5 linked regions of the Danio rerio genome follow. The protein of the gene in region 4 interacts with the protein of the main gene of each other region in a pairwise test. Links are inferred from orthologs where the notes say so. Each region holds a gene or a part of one and is shown on either strand. Other genes may lie near its edges. The genes, in order: tsga10, alas1, tfcp2, cdc73 and hsf2bp.

What was found.
Region 1: the proteins of cdc73 (region 4) and tsga10 interact in binary tests that used the Homo sapiens proteins (3 or more experiments, as listed by UniProt). The two-hybrid records come from large-scale screens. The link is inferred for Danio rerio from reciprocal best matches to the Homo sapiens genes CDC73 and TSGA10.
Region 2: the proteins of cdc73 (region 4) and alas1 interact in a two-hybrid assay, tested with the Homo sapiens proteins (3 studies listed by BioGRID and IntAct). The two-hybrid records come from large-scale screens. The link is inferred for Danio rerio from reciprocal best matches to the Homo sapiens genes CDC73 and ALAS1.
Region 3: the proteins of cdc73 (region 4) and tfcp2 interact in binary tests that used the Homo sapiens proteins (3 or more experiments, as listed by UniProt). The two-hybrid records come from large-scale screens. The link is inferred for Danio rerio from reciprocal best matches to the Homo sapiens genes CDC73 and TFCP2.
Region 5: the proteins of cdc73 (region 4) and hsf2bp interact in binary tests that used the Homo sapiens proteins (3 or more experiments, as listed by UniProt). The link is inferred for Danio rerio from reciprocal best matches to the Homo sapiens genes CDC73 and HSF2BP.

The regions. Positions count from the first base shown.
Region 1 is NC_133176.1:52,978,231-52,984,400, reverse strand, and holds part of tsga10 (testis-specific gene 10 protein), read right to left. Parts: intron 5,785-6,170; coding exon 5,616-5,784; intron 5,537-5,615; coding exon 5,426-5,536; intron 4,735-5,425; coding exon 4,549-4,734; intron 4,090-4,548; coding exon 3,922-4,089; intron 2,652-3,921; coding exon 2,449-2,651; intron 2,370-2,448; coding exon 2,265-2,369; intron 1,094-2,264; exon of another isoform or gene 550-1,093; intron 453-549; exon of another isoform or gene 410-452; intron 100-409; exon of another isoform or gene 14-99; intron 1-13. UniProt on the Homo sapiens protein: Plays a role in spermatogenesis. When overexpressed, prevents nuclear localization of HIF1A.
Region 2 is NC_133186.1:318,519-325,257, forward strand, and holds the start of alas1 (5-aminolevulinate synthase, non-specific, mitochondrial), read right to left. Parts: upstream 4,529-6,739; 5' UTR 4,391-4,528; intron 1,875-4,390; 5' UTR 1,855-1,874; coding exon of another isoform or gene 1,659-1,854; intron 558-1,658; coding exon of another isoform or gene 381-557; intron 1-380.
Region 3 is NC_133198.1:36,627,125-36,633,294, forward strand, and holds part of tfcp2 (alpha-globin transcription factor CP2), read right to left. Parts: intron 4,862-6,170; coding exon 4,709-4,861; intron 4,573-4,708; coding exon 4,462-4,572; intron 4,222-4,461; coding exon 4,133-4,221; intron 1,500-4,132; coding exon 1,445-1,499; intron 1-1,444.
Region 4 is NC_133177.1:12,422,330-12,428,499, reverse strand, and holds part of cdc73 (parafibromin), read right to left. Parts: coding exon 6,060-6,170; intron 1,830-6,059; coding exon 1,729-1,829; intron 1,649-1,728; coding exon 1,507-1,648; coding exon of another isoform or gene 1,497-1,506; exon of another isoform or gene 1,273-1,496; intron 1-1,272.
Region 5 is NC_133176.1:32,688,025-32,694,194, forward strand, and holds part of hsf2bp (heat shock factor 2-binding protein), read right to left. Parts: intron 3,528-6,170; coding exon 3,343-3,527; coding exon of another isoform or gene 3,286-3,342; exon of another isoform or gene 2,883-3,285; intron 1-2,882. UniProt on the Homo sapiens protein: Meiotic recombination factor component of recombination bridges involved in meiotic double-strand break repair.

The sequences.
Region 1 (6,170 bases), on a different chromosome or scaffold from region 4:
CCTAATATTTTAGGTTATATTTGGACCTGAAACATCTGCTAGACTCCAGTAAAGGTGGCCTCAATACTGGACCTGAAAGGGCCTAACAAGTTGAATCTGGTAAAGAAACACGCACGCACACACACGCACGCACGCACGCACACGCTTACAGAAAACTGTTGTTTATGAAGTTTATGAATATTTTTTACACTGTGGCCAATATTTTGGGGAAGTCAGCATCACTAAATTATATAAAAGATTTTAAGCTCCTCTAAATTTTGCTCCAAGTGTTGTGTTAAATTCAGGATTCTGGACAGACAGCTGCCTGTTTTTCCAGTTCTAGTCATAGTGGTTAACCTAATTGTTTTTGGAGATCCAACAGTGATGTATGTGTTTTTTCTACTTTTCCATATCCTGTCACCTCAACCAGCTGGGAGAGTCAAGTTGTGGATCATCATGAAGATTTTCAAAAGGTGAGTTTAGATTTCTTGAATGTTTTATTTACTTTAAATGTTCTTTTAAATATATCATAGAATTTGATTGCAATTTGTTTTCAAACATTTTTCTTAGTCATGCTGGAGTCTTGAAGAGTTCTTAGATGAGCATCACCCTATATCCGTGCATCAGGAACCACCAGACGAGCGATCAGCAGCTGCTACATCGTCATGGATAAAAAGGTCATCCTGTGGCTGGGAAGCACTTCATTCACAGGACATGCTTGATGAAATTTCATAGCTCCAGTTTGTTTTTACACAAGTTTACAGCATTTATACCTTCATTTAAACTGCTGTGTTTAATATGGAGGACCAAGGAAACACCAGAAGTGAAAGATTTACAAGCCAAGTTGTTTAAAATGTAATTTCAGAAGAAAACTATGAGTTCAGAAGTAAACTATGAGTGACGATATATTGAACTTTCAAATTGCTCTGATAACACATCAAGTTTGGACCAAAGGACTGAAACAGCCTTTTTGAGCACTGGTCATACATATTTTGTTGATACTGTCTGTACTAATAAAACATTTAAAGTATATTTGACATTGTTGCATTTTAAAAACTGAATGAATTGTTGAAGTGGTGAATGTTTTCAAATAAAATGTTTTTTTATTTTGTAATTTACAGTCTATTTGACCTTTTTACCATATTTACACTCAAGAGAGTTGAATAAAATAACAATATATTACACCAGGCGGTGTTAAATATAGTTACATTTTTTAACTCTGCCCAGAGTTAAAATTAACCCTTACTTCGGTGTCAATGTGCCAACCCTTTTGAAAGTGTTGATTTAACTTTGTTTTGAGTGGACCCCATGAGACACTTTCAAAGTGTTGAAATTAACACCCATAGAGTTGTTTTGGGTCCCCATATTTTGCTGTGTACTTGGCTCGCATACTGATTTTAGCGTACTATATAGTATGGAAGTATGCAGTTTCGGATGCAGCAAATATCCACTTGTTAAGTGGTGACATGTTTGTGACGTATGTAATATTGTTTCCGGGTCCAAGCCGCCATTCATTTGAGTGGAGAAATCATTCGTTTATGATCACGTTTTTTTCCTATCACACATTAAAGTTGATTTTATATAAAGTCACAGTGTACACAACAATCTCTGGGCTTGCTGCATAACAAATACCAAAAATTTAACAATTTCTAAAAAAATTAACCACTTTCTGGCCATCGGATATTAGGCATGGACATATATACTGCGATCGTGATTTACGAAAGTATTTAATCGTTTTGTAAACGTTTATTATTACCATTTCATGAGTCTCCCTATTCAGTTGAATACTGCGCTTGGACCAGGAAGCCGCTTCGCATGACGTCACACTTAACAAGCGGATTGGAAAGGGTGGGCGGGGCTTTCTTTGTACGCATCATTCTCCTGTAGTAAGGACAATCAGTAGAGGCTCATTCACACCGGACACGTCTTTGCTTCTAAAAATGCATGACGTGGCACTTAGGCATTAGTTTTAAAAAAGTATTGTGAGCAGAGCTTAATTTGTGCCGGAGCAAGCCGGATCCGGATCCGGCACCTCATTTTACCGATCCCCCTCCTCACAGGCACCCGCTCTTCACTGTCTTTCGCGGCTCTTCAACCCTCTCCACTTTCGGCAGCGATAACACCCCCTCTGCTCTTCACTTTTTTCCACGACAAAACTATCTTTTTTTCCAGTCGATTAACTTGTGCGGATTAATTATTCACCTAAAGAATAATAATGTGATCTAGCAAAGTAATACATCGTACATTTTGATTTCACACAAACTTTATCTCTTTATGTGTCTCACCTTTCGAAGCGTTCAGTAGACAGATGTCTCTTGGTCATCTCCAGATCTGCCTCCAGCTGGCATGATCGTGTCTTCAGCTGAGCCATTTCTCTGCTCTGAGAATTCCTAAAGACGTTAAAAAAACAGTAGTTGAAAGGATGAAATAAAACAAGGGAAAAAGCATAAGTGTGTGTACTAAACTCACGCTTTACTGTCAGCCATGCTAAGTTTGTCCTTAAGGATTTCTATTTCAGTCTGTCTTTCCTGAGAGGTGAGTTGCCTCTGTAGCTCTTTTTCTCTTGTGGACACCAGCAGGCTCTCCAGAGTCTGTACAGACAGACGTTCACTGGTCAGCTGCTTCTGTAACAGCTCGATCTCAGAGCAGCAGGATTCCAGCTCACGCTGCACCTGCACAAGCACATTCACAAAAGTGAGGAAATGTTTGCATTTCAGTTTAGTGTATGAAAAATCTTTAAGACAATAAACTTTAAATTAGGTTTGTAAAATGTTTGTTGTCAAACTTTGGTGTTGGTTTGACAACACTGCTTGAATTAGCATTTTAATTTTAATTAATTAACATGTTTCTAGAATGAATTAACTCGTAGTAAGCATGTTTTAACCATTAATTAGGATGTTGCTAGCAATCATTTGAAAGTTGCTAGCATGTTCTAGTATGTAAGAACATTGTTCATAGGAATCAGCTTGCTGTTACTGAGAATTTGCATCTTGCTAGCATGTTCCTAACATGTTTTATGACATGAATTGGCATCCTTTTAACATTAATTAGGACTTTGCTACAAGAATTAGCATGTTGTTAGAATGCTCTAGTGTGTTACAATATTGGCAATATGAATCAGCTTGCTGTTACAGAGAATTGACATATTGATAGCATGTTTCTAGCATGTTTTATAACAAATTAGAATGTCATTAAACAAGTTTTTAACATGAATTAGGTTATGTTTTATAACAAATTAACATGTAGTTAGCAAGTTTTAACATGAATTAGCATGTTGATACCATTAATTTGCAAGTTGCTAGCGTGTTCTAATATGCAAGAACATTGTTGATAGAAATGAGCTTGCTGTTACTGATAATTTGCATGCTGCATGGCATGTTTTTAACATAATTTCTAACATGAATTAGCATGTTTTAACATTAATTAGGATGTTGCTAACAAGAATTAGCATGTTCTTAGAATGCTTTAGTGTGTTACAATATTGGCAATATAAATCAGCCTGCTGTTACTGAGAATTGACATGTTTCTAGCATGTTTTATAACACATTAACATGTAGTTAGCATGTTTAACATGAATTATGATGTTGCTAGCAATAATTTGCAAGTGGCTAGCATGTTCTAATATGCAAGGAGATTGTTCATAGAAATCAGCTTGTTGTTACTGAGAATTTGCATGTTGATAGCATGTTTCTAGCATGAATTAGAATGTTGGCCATCACACGGGCCATCATATCTAAAGGGAAAATTTTAAATTGTAGGTAAAAGCAAGGTCTTATTAAATATATATAGCACTCAGCTAAAGTCTAATAGCAGTGGATGTGTTGAAAGTGAATAATGTGTTTTCCAGTTCTGCTCGTGTTGCAGTTGTTGAATTGACAAGCAGGTAATATTAAAAAAGAGCATTTTCCTGGCAGACTCATTTAATCCCGCCTGAACACTCACAGCGTCTTTGCTGGCATCCAGTTTGACACAGAGCTCTCGTGTTTTTTCCAGGTCGGCCTGTGCCTGCGTGTGCTCAGCCCGCGCCTGACACAGATCCTCCTCCATGTGAATCATCTTTCGGTTTAACTGAGACAGCTGACTAGTGCAGCTTCTCTCCGCACTCAGTGCCTGGACAAACATCGACAAAACACACTTAATGACAGACTGTCTTAACTTAACAGCACTAGACTGAGGAGCGCTGGCAACATGGGTTGTGCTTGACAGACTTTAGCCTTATTGTGATTGTTTGGCCTAAAGCATTTATCATTCATTGGTTTTCTTCAGCTTTAGTCTCTATTTCAGGAGTCACCACAGCGGAATGAACCACCAACTGATCCAGCATATGTTTTATGCAGCAGATGCCCTTCCAGAACTGGGAAACACCCATACACACTCACTCATTTACACACACTCATACACTACGGCCAATTTAGTTTCTTCTGTTCACCTACATCGCATGTCTTTGGACTGAGGGGGAAACCGGGGCACCTGGAGGAAACCCACGTGAACATGAGGAGAACATGCAAACTCCGCACAGAAATGGCTCAGAGAGGACTCAAACCAGCGACATCACTTTAACCAGCTGACCTGTTGGAGTCTGTTCTCCAGACTGTCTGCTCTTTCTTTGAGTCGAAGTATCTCCGAATTAGCATTGTGAAGCTCAAGACGGAGTTCGATGACTGTGGTTTCAGCGCGTCTGGCCTGGTCCTCCCAGCTTTCCACCAGAATAGACTCTTTCCTTCGAGACTCTTGCAGTTCTCTACACTCACGCTCCTGGAGGACAGCAAACAAGATTGCTATTTTGATCATGATAACAAACATTTTTTCCCAAATTTTATCCTTGTTCCAAACCAATTTAAAAGTCCCATGAAATTAAAACAAAGTTTTTTTTAGATGTTAGCGACAGTCTGTTAGATTTATGGATATCTATTAGTTAGTGGGCTCCAAAACAGTGACAAACTTCGTGTTTAGAAGACCTAAACATCCAAAGCTTGCAGTTTGTCACTTCCGCCTTAATGGTTCAACAATGTATTTGACATCATCTCATACTTGAATTTTTCATCAAATCTTGACCAATCAAATGCTTTCTAGTATCTGACATGCTCCGCCCCTTCAAGTCACTTTGCTTTTCATTTGATGTGTTTGATCTCAACCACTCTCACTGATAGGGCTGTGATAAATTGAAACACCATTGGCTGTCTTGTTTTTAAACAGGAGGAGCTACTCTATGTCCCGCCCCTTTTTCATCTTTTAGTTGAGATTATGTCAAACGTTGAGTAACAAATGCACAATTTAAAGCACTTCACAAAGTTTTTTTTTCTTTAGAACACAAGAGAAAATATTTTGAAAAATGTTGGAAACCTGTAACTATTGTCTTTTATAGAATTTTTTTTTATTACCATGATTTTTTATTACCCATAAATTGACATTTTTGGGTGATCTGTTCCTTTAAGAGACTCATCACCTTGGCAGACAGCAGATCTTCAGTACGTGAGATGTCTGCGATGTGATCTTGTACTTTTTTCTGCAAGTCCTCTATTTCCAGATTCGCTTCATCCAGCTTGAACTTTAGAGTCTGAAATGAAAGTAAACTTCAGGTCTTGGTATCTTATTTAATAGAATGCCGTTGCGTACAATTGTTTGGTGTAGAGCACCTGATTTTCCTGATGTGCTCTGTCAAGATCGTCTCTCAGCTGACCGTTTTCTTGTGACGCTTCATCTTTGACTTTCATCAGCGTGTCCATCTCTTTCTCAGAGTCTGACAACTTCCTTTTCAAGACATCCAGCTCTCTTTCTTTGCCTGATATGGTGTCTCTTAAAGCTCTGCAGACATGACGTCACACTGTTATTACTCACTTCCTTCATTGATCAAGGGTTACCAAATGGGAATGAACCGCCAACTTATCCAGCATGTGTTTTACACAGTGTATGCCCTTCCAGCTGTAACCCAGTACTGGGAAACACCCATACATTCTCGCATTTACACATATGCACTACGGCCAATTTAACTTCTTTAATTCACCTAGCGCATGTCTTTGGATTTAGGGGGAAACCAGAGCAGCCAGAGGAAACCCATGTAAACACGGGAAGAACATGCAAACTCCACACAGATATGCCCACTGGCCCAGCCGGGACTCGAACCAGCAACCTTCTTGCTTTGAGGCGTCAGTGTTAACCACTGAGCCAATGTGCTGCTGAAAAATGTTCAG
Region 2 (6,739 bases), on a different chromosome or scaffold from region 4:
TTCATACTTTTGACTATATTTGTAAACTAGACATAAGATTCTAATGTAGTGTGTGCAGTTTGGTGGTCCCTGATATCAATTTAGCCTCTCAAAACATCTGAAAACAAGGAATTTTAGCCTTTTAAATGACACAATTTCTTTACGTTTAGAATATAATATTATGGTTTAAAATGCAACTGTAAACAGTCCCATAGGTTGAAGAGTAAATGGATTGTGCTCTCTTACTCTAGCTAAAAACATGTATTCAGAAGACTTAGACCTTTCCAACGATATATAGCCTGTCATGATTAGATTAGGAGTTCATTGCAGTATAGTGCAGTACACTGAAGCATCCTGCTATCGGGCAGTGACAGTTCAGGGGTTAAAGCAGCTCCTCAAACCTTTCTGCACGGTGCGAACTTCAGAAACATCCTCCTGGAGAGCCATGCTGGCCTGCCGGACCACACCGCTGTTCTTCTGGCTCATCTCTGCTGCCAGAAACGGGCATTTAGAGGCGGAGGCATGCCCGGCTGCAGGAGCAGGGTGACCAGCGGGCACTGCAGGAGCATCACTGGCTTCTGAATAAAAAATAAATAAATAAAAAAAAAAAAGAGGAGATTCATCAGCATAAATGAGTTTACCCTATTTTGAAATGGAATATTTTATACATCTCTTAAAGAATATCGACAATATATATTCATAGATTTGAACAAAACTTAACATATTGATTAAAGTCATATTTTAGTCATTGAACATCTTTAAAAATATCAAGATAATGCATTTAAATGTGCGCTAAATTTAGCCAAAATGTAATGTAATGTATTTTTTATTTAGTGCCATGTCAGCAACCAAGGCTATCTTCATGGCAGGAATCTTTCAACAATAAATATACAATTTAAAAATCAACAAACAAAATAAAACATAAATTAAATAAGATTTTTTGTGTTAATACATGATAAAAATTCTAAAATCTTTTCGGGTGTTACTTTGTCAAAAATGTCCTTAAAAGAGTTAATTTCATAAAAAGTCCTTCTGGAATCAGTAAAAGCAGGACAGTCCAGTAAAATATGCTTTACAGTAAGATGAGTTTTGCAATACAAACACTGAGTAGGGTTTTCACCTTGGAGCAAAAAACCATGTGTTATTCTCGTATGCCCAATACGACATCTGGTAAAAACTACTTGATCAAATCGATTCTTAAAATGTCTTAAAATTCTGTGTGAAACTTCAGGTTGGATTTCATGTAAAATTTAGCCAAAAAAAGAACATATCAATTTGGGATACTAATTTTTAGGCTGTTTTTTTGGCTCCAGATTTGGCTTCAGCACAGACTAATTCAATGTATCTGCATAAATATTTTACTGTAAAGCATTCTGTAGACAAGATCAGTTTAAATGCGAGATTTGTGAGGGGTGAACGCATGTATGACACAGTCACAGGTCTTTAAAACACATCCAAATAAAACTCTTTCACTGTTAAACTCCCCAAATCACATGCTCTGAACGGTGCTTTCTGAATAATTATAATCCCAACATTGGAGATTCTGTGACGTGGCTATTGCAGACTCGTACATCACGATATCGATGCTGAAACCATATATTGCGCAGCCTTATCATGCAGTTTTATATTTAAATAATGACGTTTCTACAATTTTTCCCTTATAACAGCACGTGACTGACCATGTCCGGCCGCAGAGGAGTCTTCCACCTTCTGGAAGCTGGCGCTAGAGGAGCAGAGCGGGCGCAGCAGGGGTCTGGAGGCCAGATCCATCATCACAGGACACTTCACCGCATACGCCACCAGAGACTTCCTGGCTTGCTGGAGGAACGTCTGCGGGACGCGGGACAGGAATGGGCAGCGAATGATGGCGTCCATAGCTGACGGTTCAGTGAGGTCTGGAAAACACAGAACAGAGAGCAGGTTAATTACAACTGACTGATTACACAGTGCACTGTCATGGTGATTAACAGCCGGCCGGTGTGAAGGGTTACTGTCACTTTCACATGACTGGAACTGAGCCACAACCTCAGTACTGAGAGTTCAAAAACACACACACACACACACACACACACACACACACACACACACACACACACACACACACACACACACACACACACACACACACACACACACACACACACACACACACACACACACACACAAACAAACAAACAAACAAACAAACACACACAAACACACACAAACAAACAAACACACACAAACAAACAAACACACACAAACAAACACACACACACACACACGTTCGTATATCTCGGTACAGCTGTAGTGATGTTTGTTCTGTACAGTGTGTGTGTATTCTCTCGTCTCCCTCTAAACTCAACGCTCACAGCACACACTCTGCACTTCTACATCTCTAAACACTTCATTCTGTCTGATTTATGAGCATATTTACTTAATTTGGGGCCCTACGGTGACAATTCCCTCAGAGTCTGTGTGCATTCTAGGCATGAGATGATAACCGGTTACAAGGTTTACTGCGGTCTGGAAAAGTCTCGGTATTAAAACCGCACAAATGTTTTTTATACCGTTTCTAAGGTATATGTAGAGTTTTTTTATGTGTTGTAAGGAAATCTGTTTTGAAGATTTTTGAAGATAAAAAAGATTGTAGAAGTCAATGGTTTATTTTAATTATGTAGCCTGACATGTTTACGGTTCCAAAATAATATAAATGTTTCCTAAAATGTAATATATTGTGTTAATTGGGGAAAAAAGTTGTTGTTTTTGACTAAGACAAAATAAAAATAAATGATTATACAGCAGTAAATCACATTACCATTGAGGGAATATAAATTTATATTCCATAGTAATGCAAAGTGTCAGTCTCACAGCACGGCTGTGTCACTTGTTTTCTCTTTTCGGTCAACTGGTCAGGCGGTTTCTGTCTCCAGAACATGATGAGATCAGACCTGAAAAGGCAGTTTACCCTGCCGACAACAACACTTCATTTGCATGCTCGGTTTAGCCATCTCCCCTCATCCTAAGAACACATTATAGACAAAACAGCTTTATCTCAAATCAGACTTGTGATAGAACTTCCAGATTGCAGACCTCCAGTAGGCTCCTGCAGACACTGGGACTTCTTGAAGACGCTGTATGAATGCAGATTAACCAACACGTCTAATGTTGTTATGAAGTCATATTTACATGCCATTTCACACCCAATATGTAAATATGTAAAGCAGTGTAATAAACAACACGTTAAACTAATGTGCGAATATAAAACATACTTTACCGCCTCAACATTAGACACACACACACACACACACACAGTACACTAATACTCCTTAAAGCTGTGTGTGAGCACTCAAACTCAAATCACAGTAAGCCCATTCCACACAGATTTACAGCTGCTCTCAGCTCAGCCCTCATCATCATCATCATCATCATCATCGATACTCATTGAGGTCAAGTTGGTTTTATATTCTCACATGTATTCAGTGGTTCCCTCCCTATATTGTTTACCATGGTACTTTGAATGTTAGGTCAAAATTGGATGTAAGGATCAGACTGTAAACAATGCTGTACTCTGATAGCCATTGGCTGATTATATGATTTCACCATTTAGAATGAGCAAAGAACACTTTTCTGATATTAAATTATTAAAGAGAATGTCCAAATGTGTGAATTTAAAACCAACTTTCCCTCAATCCCATACTCATACGAGTTAAAACAGCAGAAACTGTTTTTATATTCGCACATTCAGACTTTCTCCTTCACAATCTCATTTCAGAAAAGTATTATCAAATTCTAAATAGGGGAATCATATCAGCAGTCAATGACCATCAAAGTGCATTCCAGCATTATTCACGGTCAATTAAACAGTGCTAATGTTGTTTTAGAATTCATATTTAAATGCTCTTTCAGACTCGATATTCAAAATAGAGTGGTAAACAATATAGAGAGCATTAAATGACCCAATGTGTGAAAATAAAACCAACTTGACCTCATTAATTCCTGATGAAGTCAGAGAACAGCGCCGACAGTGACTCACCGATACTGTCAGCTCACCTGCCGGGAAACAGCTGACTTACACACGGAAACTAAACCTCACGTTACACTAACAGTTCACTACTCTGCTACATTACAAATCAATATAGTACAGTACAGTACAGTAATTTAACCTACCGGCTAATGTTAAGAGTTATGATTTCTGCGTCACGTGACGTAACGTTAGCAAACCTGACAGGAACCTGAGGCGTTTTAGCTAAATTTGCTAAATGTACATTAAAAACGACCATCGTATCCTCTACTGAACTCTCTCTACCTTTAATAAGATATAAAACATAAATAAATGCAGATGTACAGTTAATCTGTGGAGTCTTCAGAGGTCAACAGTTAGAAAGCCGCATGATTAAACGCGCCGCGACCTCTAATGAACGCGCCTCACCTCAGTTTCCTCCGAGATCGCGGGTGTGTTCTGTTGGTATCGCTGTCCGGTGGTCGGTTGTTAGTGTTATGCCGTCTCTGGCCTGTTTTCTCAGCCGTAATGAGCGATGTGCGTCGTTATCCTGCACTGAGGACGAACGAGAGGGCGAGCGGCGCTCCGGGATTATATCGCACCAGCGGCCGCAGATCTCGCGATCTTTACGTCAGCAGCCGCGAGGACACGCCTCTCCTTCCGCGCAAACTATGGCGACACCGGTTGTTGCTAGAAGAGATACAGCTGCGGCGAGAAATGAAGTTAACGAGAATTGTATTTTATAAACGTCTACCTTAACCCTCACATTAATGTAAAAACAGTAATTACACCGAGACGAATCATATTGTTTTTTAAACTACCCATTAAATAGTATTTTATTAACGCCTAACCCAACCCTCACGTAAACAGTAGTATACTGAGTTCGTATTGTTTATTAAATGACCCATTAATTGTATTTACAAACTTCTACACCTACCCCAGCCCTCACAGTAATGTAAAATATGAATTATTGTTGTACAGGGTGGGTCATAAAAAGTATGAGTAACCGCAGCTGTATCCCTTCTAGACTGCACCGCCTCAAACCCTGAGCACACGAGGCGGATAATTCCCAGATTGATCAACACGTGTGTTGTGATCAGTATGATACATGTGTCCTCGTGTTTGTTTATGTCATTAATATGAGGAAACTACACCAGAAAGTCAAAGGAAGTGTATAGACGCGCCCTGCTACAGGAATAGCCCAGACATAACTCAGAGTAAAAACAACAGGACTGTTTCCTTAAAGTTTTCAGGGTCAGTTCACACACAAATGTAAATCCCACCATCATTTTCTCATCCTCCACCTCATCAAACCTGTTTATGTCTTCTGTTCAACACAAAGGAAGATATTCTGAAGAATGCTGGAAGATATGTCTGTTCTATTGGAGTCAGCTTTTCCAGCATTATTATATTTGTGTTCAACAGAAGAAAGAAATCATTAAAGTTTACAGCCACTAATAAAGAAACAGCGAAGAACTATTGAGGAAATGTTCGTTTTCAGTTGGTGAACTACTCTGTCCCATTATAAATGAAGCTATAAACTAGATGAACACACTTCTCTTACATGCACTTTGTTGATTTAGAGATTTTTTATAAGTTATAAATATGTAAAATATGTAAATATATAAGCAGGTTTAATAGTTATAATATGTTTAAAAGTGAGATAAAACTGAGGCACATGAAATTCACTTTTAAGTTTTTGTTTTGAATTTGTGTCTGTAAATAAAACCATAATAAACTATTATTGCACAAGTTATACACTATATGCTCATTACACATATATAATTATACACATTTTGCACTGAGCCATAGACATTATTTGCCTGATTAAAAGCTATATTATAGTTCTGTTCCACAATAAATGTTTTAATAAATATTTTTTGTTGGTTTATTTGCAAATTTTCCATCTCTTTGCAGTATTTTCTAAATTATAAAGAGTGATGCAAAAGAGACATATGGAAAATCAGCTGTAAAATAATCAAACAGGAATTTTTGACTTCCTTCATTGTTCAGATGTTTGCACATTTTGACTTATTTGCAGATGTAAACAACATTTTAGAAATGAGTTGTAATGCAAAAACCACTATGGTAATAGTTCATTTATTAGCAGTAGTAGCAGTAATAATAACAATTATTATTATTTATTTTTTACCTACAGTGTATTGTCTAAAGCAGTGGTTCTCAAACTGTGGTACATGTACACTACTGGTACAGGGGCTTATATCTAGTGGTACGTGGAGGAATCACTGAGTAATGAATGGAAAATTGAATCCTATTTTAATCATTTGATGTGTACGATAATGTTCACATATCGTGTCATTTCTACATGCAAGTTTGTTATTTATAATGAAGACGCAAGCAGCATGATGCACTTTCGTATTCCAGGTGTGCCCAGTTAAAACATCTTTTCAGAATGCCGCACCGCGAGTCACGTAACAAGAACTGACCGATCAGCTTCATATTTTGTATGGAATATACATTATATATTATATATATAACATATAATATTGTCAGCTTGAGATCCTCTGAGAAAAACCGGTTCCCCTGTCTACATACAAGTTAATATTTAGATTTTCAAAAGTTTTACAAATATGTCACATGTACATGCAACGTATATGTCATAATTTATTAAAAATTGTATTAACATGAATATGACTCTGTCTCGTTTTTGAACTGTGCAGTGCTGGAGCTGCTTGATTTGGCCTACTACACTGCTTTATTTCTATACTGGTCATCATGGTGGTACCTGGAGAGACTATTGTTTTCTGAGGTGGTATT
Region 3 (6,170 bases), on a different chromosome or scaffold from region 4:
ATGGATTATTGGTGATTGGGTAGCTTTACTTGGACATAGGAAATGTTAAAGACCTTTTTAACATTATTTAAAAGCTACAACAAAATATTAAAGACATTTTAAGAGTATAAGACCTCGTGGACACCCTGTTCACATACTATGCCAATTTAGCTTACCCAATTCACCTACTGTATAGCGCATGTTCTTGGACTGTGGGGATAACCAGAGAACCTGGAGGAAACCCACGCCAACACGGGGAAAACATGCAAACTCCACACAGAAATGCCAACAGACCCAGCTGTGACCCTAACCAGCAACCATTTTGCTGTGAAGCAACAGTGCTAACCACAGAGCCACCATGCTGCCTTTTTTAACATTTTATTATCACTAAAAAAAGCTGCTGTGAAGTTTATTAGCTTAGCGTAAACTGTGATGTGTTGTTTTGCCAAAAAGTTGAAAAGAACAGCATTTATTTCAAATAGAAATCTTTTATAACGTTATTGGTCGCATTTAATTCCATTGATACATCGTTTCTGAATAAATATAATTATTATTCTTTTAAAAACACATGAAAACCCAAACCTTTGAAACAGTAGAATAATATTTAACTAAATATTTAAGGACTTGGGCAGTGTAGTGTGATATATATATATATATATATATATATATATTTACATATACATATATATATATATATATATATATATATATATATATATTTACATATACATATATATATATATATATATATATATATATATATACATACACACTGTGTAACGATAGAAAATGCAATGCCATGGTATATCTGTGGCATGCAGATAACAAAACAAAAAAGAAAGAAAAATATAACAAAATTAATATATGTCCTAATACTTAACATACCACCCATTTTGCCCTATGTATTATATACTATTAGTTCTAACAAAAGCTACAAAGGGCACTACATGCTTTGAAATGTGCTAATGAGCATGCAAAGCAACCAAAAAAGCATTCTACAGAATTAATCATAGCAGCTGCCATATTATGAATGGAACAAAGGGTTTTTGATGAACTACTGTAGTTGTCCTGATATTATTAATGTAGATGGAAGCATGGAGCATACCTTATACACAAATACACACACAGCACTACACCTAATTACCATTTCATTCCCAAAACAGCTCAACTACTTAACGAGTGAAGCCAGTATTATTAAATATGAACTAAATCAAACACAAATGCAAATGGAACACAGATAAGAAGCACAAACATAATATTTAAATTAAAGGATAGCATGTAGAATGCAGAAATGTAGGAAAAGAAACATAAGGGAACACTGGGATGCATCTATATTTTGGTTAAAGTCCTAGGCAGTTTGCCTTTCATTTCTCAATGTACATACATTTGTTAAATGATTGTTATTTTATGCCACTGTGAGCAGTGGATATCAGATATGAGAGAGGAAGAAAAAAAATACACATACACTCACATCCGCTAACTGTGCGACAGGCTCTGGCTGGTGACTGGGTGAACCATTTCTGCAAGACAAAACTATGAGTCATTATGGCCATACATAAACATTTAATTATTGCATGTTGCTCCAAAAAAGATAAATGTTTTCATAGTCTATAAAACGATCTATAACCAGGGCTGCATGATACTGGAAAGATCGGATATTACGGTATTTTATTTTTCTGCGATAAATACGTTATTAATGCAGCTTCACACAATAGCTCTATCTGATGGTTTTCTAGGGAGTCTAAGAGTTTTCGGTTACAGAAATCGAATAACCACGAAGCAAAAATTGCTTTTCTTACTTTGTTTTGTCTAGTTTCTAGTTCAAATATAAAAAAAAATCTTGGACCAAGTGAAATATTGGGTAACACTTTATAATAACTGCACACTATGAATCATATACTAAGCATTAGCATCTAGTGAATTCATTATTTGTTAAGCATTAAGCCTGATTTATACTTCTGCGTCAGGTGACCGGCGTAACCCACGGCGCAGGCAACGCGCGTGGCTGTGCATTTATACTTCTGCGCGCTGTCTCTGTCGGTCTGCATTAACACTTCCGAAACGCTAGTTGGCAGTGAGGTGTAAATGTTCCTCTGTGTCGAGTTTCTTCTCTGCTTTTTTGCTTTTCCTGAACACTTCCGGGATGTACAAGTGGCTCAAACTCGCTCATTTTGAGGCAGGAACCGGCGGACGTGCAACAACTTTAACTATGAGGTAAACACAAAACAAAACTTTCCATCCGGAGCTCCTTCACGGGACTCCACACTTGTAAGCAATCGCTCGCGCAATTCGCGCGGCTCTCGGTCCCGCCCAGACTCGTCAGCGCTACCAAGCCGACCAATCACAGAGCTTACGCTACGCGTCGTTGCGACGTGTAGTTAAATTTTTTGAGAGGTGCACGTCAGTGACGGCGATGGCCACGGTGAAGGGCTATGCATCAGCGCCGTAGCATACGCCGACGTTTGACGCAGATGTATAAATCAGCCTTTAACTCCACATTAATGGACGTTAGTAAGCGGTTTATAACTGCAGCTACAAATGCTCTATTCTTGACTTACAAACATTTAAAATGTGCAATTTCATACTTAGTTAATGATTTGTTTTTATTACTAAATTAAGTATCGCACTATTTACAAACCAGTTGTATTAAGGAGTAGTTTAGGGTTTTTAGGAACATTCATTCTACACACAATACCCCATAATGACAATGTGAAAGTGTTGCAAACTTATTAAAAATAAAAAGACCTGGAAAATCACATGTACATAAGTATTTTCAGCCTTTGCTCAATACTTTGTTGATGCACATTTGGCAGCAATTACAGCCTCAAGTCTTTTTGAATATGCTGCCACAAGCTTGGCACACTGTCTTTGGGAATTTTTGTCCATTCTTCTTTGCAGTACCTCTCAAGCTCTATCAGGTTAAATAGAAAGTGATGGTGTACAGCCATTTTCAGATCTCTCCAGAGATCTTTAAATGGATTTAGGTCTGGACTCTGGCTGGGCCACTCAAGGACATTCACAGAGTTGTTGTAAAGCCACTCCATAGATATTTTAGCAGTGTGCGTTGGTTCATTGTCCTGCCAGAAGATGAACCGTCACCCCGGTTTGATGTCCAAAGCACTCTGAAGCAGGTTTCAATTCAGGATGTCTCTGTACATTGCTGCATTCATCTTTCCTACCATCCTGATTAGTCTTCCAGTTCCTGCTGCTAAAAAACATCCCCACTGCATGATGCTGCCACCACCATGCTTCACTGTAGGGATGGTATTAGCCTGGTGATGAGCGGTGTCTGGTTTTCTCCAACATAACCCCTGGCATTCACTCCAAAGAGTTCATTTTTGTCTCATCAGACCAGAGAATTTTCTTTCTTATGGTCTGAGAGTCCTTCAGATGCCTTTTGGCAAATTCCAGGCGTGGAGTGGCTTCCGTCTGACCACTCTACCATACAGGCCTGATTGGTGGATTGCTGCACAGATGGTTGTCCTTCTGTAAGGTTTTTCTGTAACCTCTCTTAGCCTTGTGCCTTGAGACAATCCTGTCTCGGAGGTCTACAGACAATTCCTTTGTCTTCATGCTTGGTTTGTGCTTTGACATGCACTGTCAACCCTGGGACCTTATAGAGACAGGTGTATGCCTTTTCAAATCATGTCCAATCAACTGAATTTACCACAGGTGAACTCCAATTAAGCTGCTGAAACATCTTAAGAATGGTCAGTGGAAACAGAATGTACCTGAGCTCAATTTAGAACTTCACAGCAAAGGCCGTGAATACTGATGTATATGTGATTTTTCAGGTTTTTTTTATTTTTTTATAAATTTGCAATAATTTCAAAAAATCTTTATTTCACATTTTCATTATGGGCTATTGTGTGTAGAATTGAGGAAATAAATTAATTTAATCCATTTTAAAATAAGGTTGTAAGCCTGTAACATAAAAAAATGTGGAAAAAGTGAAGCACTATGAACACTTTCCAGATGCACTGTATCGATGCTGAAAGGATACATTGCACAGCCCTATCTAGAACTACTCTTTTTTTCTTATTCAATATGTTGCTTTGCTTACTATTGTAGCAATGAAGTAAAAAGATTTATTAACAAAAGAAATATTCAGGCATTAAGTAATATTTAGATGATGATGATCATTGTTTCCTACCCTTCGGTAACAGGAAAGCTGTTGTGGGTACTGTTAAATCCAGGAGATGGCGAGTTGTTTACATATGTAGCCTCGGGCCATGGAGAGCACTGGATAAAAACAACACACTTTATATCATCAGGTATTAAAAAAAATACCACAATTTATTTCATTCAAACTGTAATTGACTTAATTTATATTTTTAAATAATATTATTCCAATGGAGGAGATACATTAATAATAATAATATGATGTATTACTAAAAATAACTGCATTAAATATTGTAATAATATTTATTTTTATATATTTACTAAATAAATCTAAAATGATCATAACAAATTAGTTCCAACCTCAGTGAGAATGGTGGTTTCATATGAAGGCTGGTATTTCTCCTTTTCCTGTGGTGCTCGTTTCTCCATTTTTTCGCGGTCTGTTTTCTGCTTTCTGTCTGCACCTTTAGGCTACATACAAAACAAACATCTCGCTTTCTAAGAAGTACATACAAATGGCGCTGCACTGGCGAAACAAGACGTGCATTGAAACAGAGCACAGATATCACATTGTAAATGTTTATCAGCAGCACAGGCCTCAACCCACCTTAAAGACTTTGATTTGGCAGCTGGCGGAGTGCAGATGTTCGGTGTACTCCCCGGCCTCGTTCTCCTTGAAAGTGTCGATTTGAATACGGAATGGCACTCCCTTCTCTCCTCCATGTTTACGCATGGTGAACTCTGTGCTTATACAATGGACCTACATCAAATGTCAAAATAATGAATTACAATGAATGACAACTGAAAAGTTGTTCACAAAATGAAAGTAAATGTTACTCAAAATATTTCAGAATTCACACACTAAGCCAAACATAATGTTTTTTTGGTTATGAATGGAAAAAACAGGCCTCTGTTGTGCTTTCTATTTTTTTAAAAATGATTTTAGCTTGAATGTCACTTCACAAACAATGGATAAAAATGAATCAAATCCAAGGTACTTGTCCAGCATTAAGGACTTTGTGGGCATCAATTTTTAATCAATTTCTGAATGCTTTATTTTAGATATTAAGCCTTGCCCCATAGTAGCATTATTTGGACTTAACCCTACAAATGTTTCCTTGTCATCTACACAATCAAATGCACTCGCCTTCTGTTTAATAATTGCTAAAAGGCTTATAACACTGAACTGGAAAAATCCTTCCCCACCCAGGTATGTACATTGGATGCATGACCTGATGCAGACTATGCAAATAAAAAAATATTAAATATACAGTTTGCTGTATTACAGAAACAAATTTGACACTGTTTGGCAACCTTTCCTCTTACACCTAAAAAATAAAAAAAAACAAATAAATAAATATGTATGTATGTGTGTGTGTGTATGTATGCATGTATATACTGTAACTGACCTATTTTCCCTGCTCCTGGTCTGGATATAAATGGAGAATGTGTTTTATTTATTTATTTGCCACTGCTGTACCCTTTGCATATTTGTATTTATATATTTTCTGTATTCTTGTGTGGCCTAATAGGTGTTACTTTTATCTATAATGTTATTTTTTCTTTCTAATTACGATTATATATACAGTATATATATATTTGTTATTTGTTTTGCGTGTTTTTTAAATTATTTTCCTTAAAGCATGAATATTTAATTGTATTACTTTATTCAGAGAGAAAGAAAATGCGAGCAAATTGTGTTCTGCTGCTACATTGGAGTAGTTGATGTCTAATTATTCTATGTATTTGATGCTGTGGCTCTCTGACTTATATCTTTCAATAAAAACAGAGTTAAACTAAATCTAAGGTACTTACTGTTTACATGGTTTCGAAGTGCTCCCTACCTCTCCCATATTTAAGTTAAGTCTGTCTACTTTTTAACACAAAGTCTTTGAAGCAAATAGATACTTCATTCATCCCAAAGGGAAACTGAAATGCAGTCTAACCATAACCACTTTTGTGATAAAACATGGTAAAGAAAAGTTTATATTTCGAACACTGAAACAAAAATTTAAAGTGACAAACAAAAATCTCTGATATTAAATTAAATGTCTTGGACAAAAATATAT
Region 4 (6,170 bases):
GAAAGCGCAGCTGGACTCACGTGTGGATTACAATGCATGCGACGGAAATATGTTTGTAAGAAACATTTTTACCCAAGAGCTTTTCGTATCTGAAAATGGTGAAATCCAGAGTTGCCACTCATCTTCGTGTTGATTATCCTGTCTCTACAGATTTGGTAAGTGTATGATCAGTGTTCTTTTTTTTACTGTTTGTTTATATAGAGGCAAAGTTAGTTAGTCTACAGTACTCTTACAGTATTTAAAAAATTACCATTTAGTTATTAAGTTTACAACACATTATTTTCACTACATATTATAGATGAAGTATGCACTCCCGAGTGTAATCATGTAAACACCTTAATCAAACTATTACCGTTGTGTAGAATTTTTGCTGAAAATTGTGACAAAATACACTACACAATAAGCTTTCTGATGCTACCTACCGAGTGCATCTAAGTTACCGAGAAATGAGTTTTTTTTTCTCTCATACAACATGCGGTATCAAACATTCCATTAAAACTACACTCTTCCAGCAGTTTCTTTGCATGCAATATCGCGTTTGTCATGGGGCATGCATGATTTGTTCCTGAATGAAAGTGAACATGCCAAACTGCAGTTATGGTCCACAAATTAATAATTTAGCAAATAATTCAATTACTGATGTCCATGTAAATGCGGTCACTATCTTTCTCCCCTGCGCCTGTGTGTTTGTTTTGGCTCTGTGAAAATGGCCCTTTAATAATTAAGGAAACCATTTAGTAGAGGGAGTAATTCTCATTATAACTAGTAGCTTATTACATGCCTGCCTATAATAAAAGGGGACCTATTATTTAGCTCCTTTTTACAAAATGTAAAAAAAAACAAATAACAAAAAAAAGCCTCTGATATCCCAGTGTGTACATGAAGTTTCAGAATACCCAAACATTTTTTTTTAACTCTTTGCAACTGCCCTTTAAGGATTCGATCCAAATTGTGCTGTTTTGTTGACTGTTGCATTAAATGCAAATAGGACTGTGCCTTAAGATTATTCTAGATTACACAGAATGACACCCCTAATATAGTTCAACATCCCTAATCCTACGAAATACCTAAACCCAACTACTCCCTAACTATTAACAAGCAGCCAATTAGAAATTTGAGGTCAAATTCATAGGTAATGGCTTGTTATTAGTGAGAATTGTACATTAAAACAGTGTGACCATGATGAAACAGGTCAGCTACATTCTTTCACATTTCACAACTACTAAATCACTGCAGCTTGACAAACCACATTTTCCAAAGAGACATAACAGGTGGAGTGCATCTGCTTTTATTTGAAATGAATGCCATTCCTTTTCTAAGAATGGGTGTGTGTGTGCGTGTGATATCTATCATCTACGAAAAAATCATTTATTAGTATTAATGATTTGTAAGATATCATTACATTGAGATATCTGTTGGCAGCCAGAAAAATACACAAAAATTTGTTTATTGTTATGGAAGCGCTAAAATTTCATAACAAAAAAACATTTCACATTTCATCCTGACCTGTCAAGTGTTTCCCAGAAGCGCAGGAAGACGGGCCGGTCCAAGTGTCGTTTGTGGTGGCTCAGCTCCAGCACAGTCACGTCCCACTTCTGCACGTTTGGGTCCATCCGTGCCTCATCGTACTTCAGGTGAAAGGCTCGAACTAAAAACGCATAAACATGGCATGAAGCTCACTATATCCTCTGTATAATCTTTGTTGTGTAATGTTCAGACCAAACTCACTTTTGGCAAATATGTCCACTGGGGATCCATCGGGCAGTAGCCACGGCCAGCCCTTGAACTGCCAGGCAGGACCCTGAACGAAGACCGCCACAACACGATCCCTGTGTACAAACAACAACAGTCTTAAACTGACTGATTGTGGCCTGTGCTCGTATGTACCATTAACCCTTAAAGACTGAAACAGCCGCCTGTGGCTAAAAATAAGTACTGTTCTTAAATGTTTAATAACTTTTAATCCGCTGATCCGATCAGTACAGTTTAAAGACTGGCATAAAGAAGAGAGCTTTCCATCGCTGTAAAACATTACATTGACGGACCTTCGGAGGCTCCGAAATCAGTGTGGTTACGTCATCACATTTTGACACCTCTGATTTCACAAAGGAACGCTCGGACAAACCAGACATGATGCATTGATACATTGTCCCTCCTCCATGCCCAGATTGGTTCAAACTCGCTCTCTCTCAACCAATAAGCATAGGTTTCGCTTTGTGGACCAGCAATCAGCTATTAGAACAACCCGGAATGAGAAATAGGCTGTACATTTACGCACGGCTAAATAATCGCAAAAAAAAAAAAAAAAGTTTTGCATTAAATAATTCTCATACTAAGTACTTTTGCATGCACAACAGCACTAAAACATGACAAAACAGTGACACAGCAAAGACGAAGTGATGGTCTTGCAGTTTTCAAAGGACGCAAATGGCAGTGCGACTGTTTGTCTGCAACGCAAAAGTTGAGAGACAGCAGGGTCAACACCATATTCATGCTGGCACATAAAACCTAAGGATGGTCCATATTGAATCTAGTTTAGTTATGTAACTATGTGTAGTATAGTCAATATTTATATAAAAAAAATTTTACTGAGGATTTGCACCATGTTTATTTGGACTTTGACGCATTATTTCTTGTTTTCTTATTTTTTATTTGTTCATTGTAAGTGGTGTTGTTTATGGGAACTGAAAATATATTATTTGAAAAAAGTCAAACTTGCTTCAGTGTTCTGTTATTTTGTAACAATCTTTCTGTTTTTAGTTCATTTCCAGAACTTTTGGGCAAATACATTGTCAGTAAATAAATGCACTGAAAAAAGCCTTAGAATAACATTGAAATAAATTGCTATAACTTGCTCAAGGAAAGGTGGATGTAGACAAAATTTATTTTGGAAGTATAAAACATCATAGCGTGTATTTCTAAAAGAAAGAAAAAAAAAACTTCACGAGGTTTTGTTTGTAATAACTAGAAAATGCCACTTTTTTAAAAACTATTTAAAAAAAATATTTTCTGTCTGTTCATATGTTTTTGGACCAAAAAATGTTTTAGACTGAACCTTTAAATGATACAGATTGAAGCTTCAGGTTCTCCTGTTTAAAATAATATATAACACTTGAGGCTGACTGCTAAAATAACAATAAAACTGCTTTTAAAAAATAATAATAATATAGGCCCATTAGGTGCCCACAAAATACGTCTAGGTCTTTAAGGGTTAAACAGATTTAAAGAGATAGTTCTCCCATAACTTGTTTCAAACCTGTTTGAGTTTTTTTCTTTTGTTAAACACAAAAGATGATGTTTAGAAAAATTCCAATAACCTGTAACAAACCATTGACTTCCATAGTATTTGTTTTTGCTTTTTGGAACCACTTGATATAGTGAAAACAGCGAGTTATTTTTCATTTGAGTGAACTATCCCTTTAAACTGTCCATTGCACGACAGTCAACTTAAAAAAAAAAAAGACCTATAATTACTGATTTTGAGCATATTTATTTATACATTTTATAAATATCTTTATTTAACTCCTGGAGGGCCACAGCTCTGAAGAGTTTAGCTCCAACCACCTCCAACACCTGCTTAATAGTCTCCAGTAGTTTTGGAGTGTTTCTCAATCACATTCCAAGAGGACCATCAACACTTTTGGATGTCGCATTTGTCTATCACACCCATTACAGGTCTTTTTATCTCTGCTGATGATAAGTTTAGAAAGACCCCCTTAAAGAGAAAACCCTATAATTACTAATTTTGAGCATATTAATTTATTAATTTCAATGCCAAAAAAATAACACAACTGAAATCACTCTGGCAGTCGCAATCATCTGATCTCATATTGAAGCAAGAAATTGCGAGGACATATGATGATGTGTGCAGGTGGTGTAGTGCTGTCCCAATACTTATGGGTAAATTTTGAAGCCCTTCCTCTTAAGCCTTGGTTGTAAGGGCCATGGGGATGGAGTAGGGGTAGGGGTACAAAAATAGAATTGGGATTGGGCCTTAAAGTGAACAATATGGACGAGTATAATTTGGCCCTTAAACCTCAGGATCTCATTAGTCTGTACTAATACACAGTTAGTAGTTGTGCCTCTGCACTGTTGTGAAAAAAAACAGTTCCTTGGTTCCATCCATCAAAGTCAGAAATTCTAGAGCAGGGGGGTGCCCAAACTTTTTTTATATGAAGGACCAAAAACCAAATATCACTGAGAGCCATGGGCAGAAGGTATTTATACCAAGCTATGTTACATTAAAGTTGCCATGGGTAATTTCCTTATTTATTTCTTAATATTTCAAAATAAATAGAAAACGGTACTAGTTTTTCACAATTTTTTTATGACAACTTGTATTAACTAATGCAGTTTAACATTTAAAATGATAACTTATTGCAATAAAAACAAACAATCACATTTATAACTCAGTGGAGTTCAATGCTGAATACACTGGTCAAGCAGAATCTGCCTTTGACTTGATTTGCATAAGTCTCAGCAAAGCATTGTTGGGTGACGATATATACATTTAGCCAAAATCGGATTAATTTACACCGTTTAATTTAAAAAAATAGCTTTTAACAATAAAGCAAACAAACAAAGGGTTCAATTAAATTTGAATTGACAATCTGGAAAGTAGGTAGTGCTGTCACCTCACAGCAAAAAAGTCACTGGCTTGCGGCCATCCAAGAATCAAATTTGAGACAAATGTTGTAAAGTAAAAACAAACACTGGAGAGCTGACTTACAGTAAAAACTAACATTGTACTCAAAACAAGGCAAAACAGGATTTGTTATGATAAGTGATAAACGCGTGATCTAGAGCTGCACAATTAATCGAAAAAATTTTCGATCTCGATTAGACTCCTAGACAATCTTAATTCAGCATTTCTACGATTTTGTTAATCATATTTTCAAGTTCAGGAGAGAAGCAAAGGAGGCTGCAAAAGTCTTTTCATTGTTTCGCGCACATTGCTCAGGAACATGGACACCTCTAAATGATGTTAAAATAGTCAAAAACAGTATTTATAAAGTATAATTCACCTAAAATTGTCATTTTTGTCTACATATTATGCTGTTTTCGTGGCCGGGAAATCACGTGACGTAGCTGCTGACTGTGCGGACGCGCACCCTACTTAATGATATACGCGCATACCTCTACTTTAGTAAACAGAACCTGCATATGCTGTGCGTAACAGGTAATACAGTTGTAAATAATATACAGTTTGTGGCACAGAGTGATTGTTTGAGAGCCACGCGCGAAGTATGAACAGCACTTAGCAGTGAAAATGAAACTGAAAGCGTGCACTTCATTTAAATAATCATCTCGCATTTTAGAGTTATGATTGCGACAAGTATTTGATATGTTTTTTTCCTTTCATAGTGAACAGAGTTGTGCATGAAAATAAATGTTTAACAGTGTCAGTATAACTACTCAAGCCTATATAATGTTGATTTTACCATAGAATAAAATGGTCTAATAATGTTGTCAATGACAAATTGCAAGCATAAATCTCAAACATAATTCAAACATCAGAATTATTATAAGTAGAATAGAATTATTTATAGAAGCCAGGAGGCCTACACATAATATTAATATTGTTGTTTTACCATATGTTTGAGAAAAAACAAAATCTCATATTAAGCTTTATTTTACATCTACAAAATGGTGGGAAAATTGTAATCTTTATATTAAGCAAAAAATAAAAAATAAATAAATAAATCGCAGTTCCCATTTTAGCCAGAATCGTGCAGCTCTAGAGTGCTGAATTGCAGAGCTTAAGCAAACAGAATCATTGTGATCAGATGCTATCTTAACTGTGGTTCTTTCACTGCGGTCTTATTTTTATTGTGCATTTTTGTTGTTTGGCGCATATTATCATATTCATCTAAGCAGATTAGGCTGTGTGGGGATGTTCAATGACAGGATTCTGCTCTAAAATAAACTTTTTTTACACCCAAACAAAGGACAAAAAAAAAAGAACAGTGCCATGAGTACTGATGAACAATGTCTAAAAAAGGATCCATTAAATTAGTTGATACATGTATGTGAAATTAGTAAGTGAAAGATGGACGCACCAGTCCTGCGGGGCCAGTTTGAGTGGCTGGTCGATCACTCTGTAGGGTACAGTGACGCTGAGCGTGGCACCGCCAGGTTGGACCTGATCTTTACGTCTCTGTAGAAGAACT
Region 5 (6,170 bases), on a different chromosome or scaffold from region 4:
TTGCGCGGGCAAACCCGGGAGATTTGAAACTTGCAGCCCCGTCCACTAACACAAAAAAAAAGCCATACACACACACAGACACCAGTCGAATAAAGTCATGCTGTGCAGATGGATATTATTGACAGTCTCTACCCAAAGATGAAACTTTGAAGAGTCAGTGATTGAGGTTTATTTTAGCAAAAAATATCTCAGCAATATAGCCCAGCCTAGTGCAATGCTTCTGGAAACTACATGCTTACAACAAAGACTTCATCGGCCGTTTGTTAAAGGAAGGACCAGAAAAGAGAACTGATGGACGGGACTATGTCAGAACATGGATCAGTGAATCATGAATCAGTTTCTTCCTCCATATCACAAGTGTAAGTATATGTGATTAAAATTGAAAACGCGACGCATGCTGCTTTGTTTACGGATCATCAGCTGTTCCTACACACATGCAACGGTGAAGTTTCAAAATAGTTCAACTCAGGTTCGAGGTGAGTTGTCTAAATTGCACCCAGCAAGCTGAACTGGTGCTCTAGGCGAACGGCGATCACACCGCCCCAACCCGAAAGTGCATTCTCTGTTTTTGAATGTTTTGGTGTTGTGTCCTCTGTGGAGGAAGGTAATGTGTGTGTGTGTGTGTGTGTGTGTGTGTGTGTGTGTGTGTGTGTGTGTGTGTGTGTGTGTGTGTGTGTGTGTTGATCTCCTCGCCAGTTCTTAGAGTTTTTGCTCAATAAAATAGTTACTCGTCTGTATTTTCAAGTCCATCGTCTGTATTTACATTCACCCACTGGCAGCCAAAATTCACGCCTTACACTATAAAGCGTGTTTGCACTCTGACTACTTCTATATTGTTGATTAGCTGCTGGACATTTCACTCTGTCTCGTGCTGAAGGTTGTCAGTGTTAACCAATCGCAGTAGGCTGTCATCAGGCCAATCAATGCAGATAAGCTTCGTGCTAAGGAGGGGTTTGGGAACAAATGAATCACTGAACGATTCAAATGGGAGTCGCTGGGATAATTAGCTAAAAATAAATGCAGATTATAAGACCATGCAAGCGTTTTTTGACCTTGCATGCATATTAAACTGTTGTTAGAGACCCTTACAACCAAAATATTACCCTAATTCATGTATAATAGGGGCTCTTTAAGTAAATAATAATAAGATTGGATACTTTAGACTCTCTGTGTTGCCGAATTTATTTGAGTTTTGTTTTTATAATTATTTTAAAGTATGTGTGTGTATAATTTTGATATGCAAATTTTTTTACAATTATTTGAAACTTAAAAAAACTTTGTCTTTAACCTTATATTATTGTAGCCTTGTATATCAGAAGTCAAGTAATAAATTGATAAATCAGGTTATTTGTTTATTTTTTTATTATTACTACAGGTTTGGAATAACATGAGGATTAGTGCTGAACAATTTTACATTTTTTTGCTTTGGATGGAGTTTGTTAATTAATTAATTTATATTGTTTTTTTTTATTAGATATGTGATAAATGTAGGCAGTTGCTTAAATGTTGTCAAACTCCGTTCCTGGAGGGCTGCAGCCAGCAGAGTTTAGTTCTCACTCTGCTTCAACATTACCTGTAGACTTCTAATAAGCCTCAATTAGTTTGATCAGGTGTGTTTGCTGTCAAAACAATAAAATACATGTGTCTGAAGAATTTATATGCTTTCTAATTTAATACCACTTCAGAATACTGATTTATAGTAACACTACAATAACTCTAAATGACATACCATTAATGTGTATGCAGTATGATGCTGTGAGTTGTAACACTATAGTACAGTAAGTAACTGTAAGCAGTTTCCAGTTAGTTGCTGCTACTGCTCTATTACAGTAACTGAAAGCACTGTTGCCAGCTACTCACTCTAATGGTTAAGTTACAGTAATTAGTAAGTTACAGTGTTGCCAGTTAGTCACTGTTATGGTTTAATTACATTAATTCACTGTCAACACTGGTGCCTGTTACTCACTGTAACCAAACCATTACAGTGAGTAGCTGGCAACAGAGTTGCCAGTATTATACTGTATAAAAGCCTGGTAAGGGCTAACAGTGTGGATAAATCACTTTTTTCAGAACTTAAAACTTCAGTAAATTCTTAATAGATTTGTTTAACATAACAAACCGTTTTGTTGTCAATGCAACCAAAAAAATGCAATGTGTATGTATTTCAATATAAATTATATATTTTTCATTTTATGATTGAGTAATTTTGATGAATAAATATGAGTAAATTGTGGTTGATTAGCTTAAATTAGAAAAGAACTTTTGACTAATAATATTAAAATCATCATCTATCACTCAAAAAAATTAACAAATTTTCACCTGATTTATTCAAGTAGGTTTTGCTGAAAAAAATCAAGTCTTGAAAACTACATGATTTTTAAGTAAATAGTAGATAAGAATTTTTTACAGTGTATGCTGGTGTTTACTGCATTGATTTAATGAATTTCTCCTTGCACTGAACCAACTGGATCATCAGAACAATCACCACAGATTAGTGTCATGCAAAGGAGTTGAGAAAAAATGAATTGCAAAATAAATCATATGGAAGTCTTTGGGTTAATTAGGTAAACAAAAATGAATATTTTGTAAAAATAAAAGTGTTTTTTGGCATTGTATGCATATCAGCATGTTGTTGGAAACCCCCAAAACCAAAATACGACCATTTATAATGCACAATAAGGGCTCTTTGATTAGCAGTAGTTTGGTTGTTTTAATTATTTATTCATTTTTGCGCAAGTATGAACATTTTTACAAATATAGCCTCTATTTGTAGTGATAAAATCTGTACTGACAAGGGGACTAGAGATACCTACTTTCACCATAGTAAAAAAGTATCTTATCAAAAATCAATGGTATAATTTTTTGTCTTCTCTATCAAAGACCCTATGTTCATGTCTCATAAAATGTTTTATGACCTTAGCTTTATTTCGAAAGAATTACCTAATTTCACCAATATTATATACACAACAGTATTATGCAATTTAAAGTAAAGTTTTTTAAGATGTACAGATGAACTTATCTGATTATCAGATTAAAGAAAAAAAAAACTTTTTGTGTATAACCTGAAAGATAATGTACCAACATGGAAAAGACTTTATACAATATAAGTAGATTGAAAACTGGTTATTTGTCAACAAAAGAAGCTTAAAATTGCTTCAGTTTTGTTGAAAATCCCTTATTAGGTTTCTTTGGTTGATTACACCAGGAACATGGGCAACTGTCATGGCATGGACAAGTAATCTAATCTAGACCCATAGAGTCTAAATTAAACCTAGACTGCCCTTTTTAATCCAAACACTGCTCCTTCTCTGTGAATGTAGTTTGGGAGTTTGTAAAACTAACCAGATCTTCCAGTGTCTCCTGGGCTGTTTGTTTGAGAGTGGGATGGCAGCTTGAAACTAGATGGTTGATACGACTGAGGGGGAAAGAGCGTCGAAAGTCAGTAGCCATGCCAGGCATGATTTCTCTTTCCAGTATTAAAGACTGAAGGAGCCTCAATGACTGCAGGCACACTTCTGGATCAGGGTCTGTGAGAGGAAGAAAACACATTTCGTTTTATCTCAAGAGGCTAGAGAGCATCATAGACTACTGTAGCCACAACATCAAACCCGAAACTGTGTTCTATCTTACCAGACAATGCTAGATCAAGGGATAAAACATATTTTTGTCCTCTTTCCTAATCAGCGACTTTGAGCTACTGATTATGTGATTTATTTAATATTAAATTGTAACATATAAAGCTGAACATTTTGAAAATTTTTACATGAAAAATACACCAACTACATTTTGCGAGCTGAGGTGCTTATATTAATTTTCTCAGACATATCAAAATAAGTGTACAAAGTAAGTACATACACACACACACACACAAACAAATATTTAAAAGGAGGAGAGACAGCAGTGGAAGACGAGAGAGGACCAGGGGCCTCATGTACGAAGACTTGCGTTGAATTCATACTAAAACATTGCATACGTAAAAAGCTGTCACTGTGTGTACGCAGTAAAAAAATCAGATGTATGAAACACTGCGTACACGTAATCCCACGCATAATCTCTTTGTACAATTTGGGGCACGTGTAGATTTTTAAATAAACTACTTGCAATACCTAAGTACAAAATTTTTTGAATACTTTTTAAACCAAAATTTCAAAACCATAATGCCCTTTTTGAAAAAACTTCTTTGACACAAGCTGTATTTTGTGAACTGTTACTGCAAAACTACACACAAATGTATCAGATTGAGCTTAGTTAGCACACAAAGAAGAAGAAGGAAAAAAAGTAGAAGAGGTCAAAGACACCAGAGAGGTGGAGAAAGAGGAGAAGAGAGAGGAAAAAGAACAAGAACAAAAAAAGGTCAAGGATGCCAGAGTGGTGGTGGAGGAGAAGGAAGAGAAGAGGTCAAGGACACCAGAGTGGTAGTGGAAATGAGAAAGAGAAGAAAATGAGGAGGAGGAAGAAGAAGAGGTCAAAAACACCAAAGTGATGGCAGAAGAGGAAGAAGAGAAGAAGAGGTCAGAGACACCCGAGTGGTGGAATAGGAGAAAAAAAAGAGGAATAAGAAAAAGAGGTAAAAGACACCAGAGTGGTTGAGGAAAAAGAGAATAAGAAGGAGAGGAGGAGGGAAGAAGAAGAAGAGGTAAAGGAAACATAAGTGGTGATGAAGGAGGAGGACAAAGAAGAAGTCAAAGACATTAGAGTGGTGGCACAAGAGGAGAAAAGGAGAAGGAAGAAGAAAAAGAAGAGGAAGAAGAAAACGAAGGAGAGGGGGGAAAAGACGAAGAAGAGGAGATCAAGGACATCAGAGTGGTGCTGGAAAAGGAGAAGTAAGAGAAGAAGAGATAAAAGACACCAGTGGTGGCTAAAGAGAAGAAGAAGAGGAGGACGAGGGAGAAAAGAGAAGACGAAAAATAAGAAGTCAAAGACACCAGAGTGGTGGCAGAAGAGCAGAAGGAGAGAAGGAAAGCGAAGAGGGCAAGGACCCCAGAGTGGTGGTGGAAAAGGAGAAAGAAAAGAGGAGGAAGAAGAAGAAGAGGTCAAAAGCACCAGAGTGGTGGTGGTAGAGGAAGAAGAGAAGAAGAAAAGGTCAGAGTGGTGGTGGAAGAGGAGGAGTAGAAGAAGAAAAAGAGATCATCGGCTGTATCTCAATATGCATTCTTGTCTGTACTTGCGACCTTGTGTCCTCGTGAAATGTCATCAAACGTCACCGAAGTACTATTCCAGTTTAAAGTTGACATTTTGCCAAGTACAGATAAAAATCCCGGATGTGTGCTAGCTCTGCCCCTTTTTCCAAGGATGCTTCGAGAGGTGACTTGTGGGAACTTACAAAGCACAGGTGTCCCTGAATGCATTGCAGCGTAACCAGCAAATGCTAATGGTGGGGAGAAAACCCGCACAGTTTTAAAATGCTCGTTTGTTGTGTTACAAATTTAAGTTTTAAGAGTTTTTCAGGCGAGAATATAGTTGCTTTAAACTCAAATCTGCAGTGTATTTCTAAATATAGCACGTCTTGTGCTATCTTTAGAAAATTAAATTCACATTTACAGTGATTTATGTTTACATTTTCTTAAATCAAAAATCTACATTTATAATATTAATGGAATCATTTTATTTTTAATGCACAGTGAAACCGATGAATCCATGGAGAGGTAAGTGATGTTATAAAGTACACTGCTGTTCCATTTGAAGAAGTACCCAGCATGGGTCTTCGCGTCCTCTGTACTTCGCTTTTCCAAGTCTGAACTTTTAAGGACGCAAGTCCGAACTTTGGGTACTTGTATTGAGAAACAGCCAAAGACACCAGTGGAGGTGGAACAGGAGAAGAAGAAGACGAGGAGGAAGAAAAAGAAGAAGAGGAAGAGTAGGAAGGGAAGTAGAAGAAGAGGTCAAAAACACCAGAGTGGTTGCGGTAGAAGAGAAGAAGGAGAGGAGGAAGAGAAGTAGAAGAAGAGGTCAAGGACACCCAAGTGGTGTTGGGGGAGGAGAACGAAGAAGAAGTCAACGACACCACAGTGGTGGTGGAAGAGGAGGAGAAGAAGTCAAAGACATCAGATTGGACTACCACCATGCCATTCTAGGACCCTAAAACACTCTGCTCCTCCTTGCTTTCGTTGATGGTCTAAGAGAGCATATGTTCCAACTGGATTACAGAAAACCAGCACAGCCTCACTACA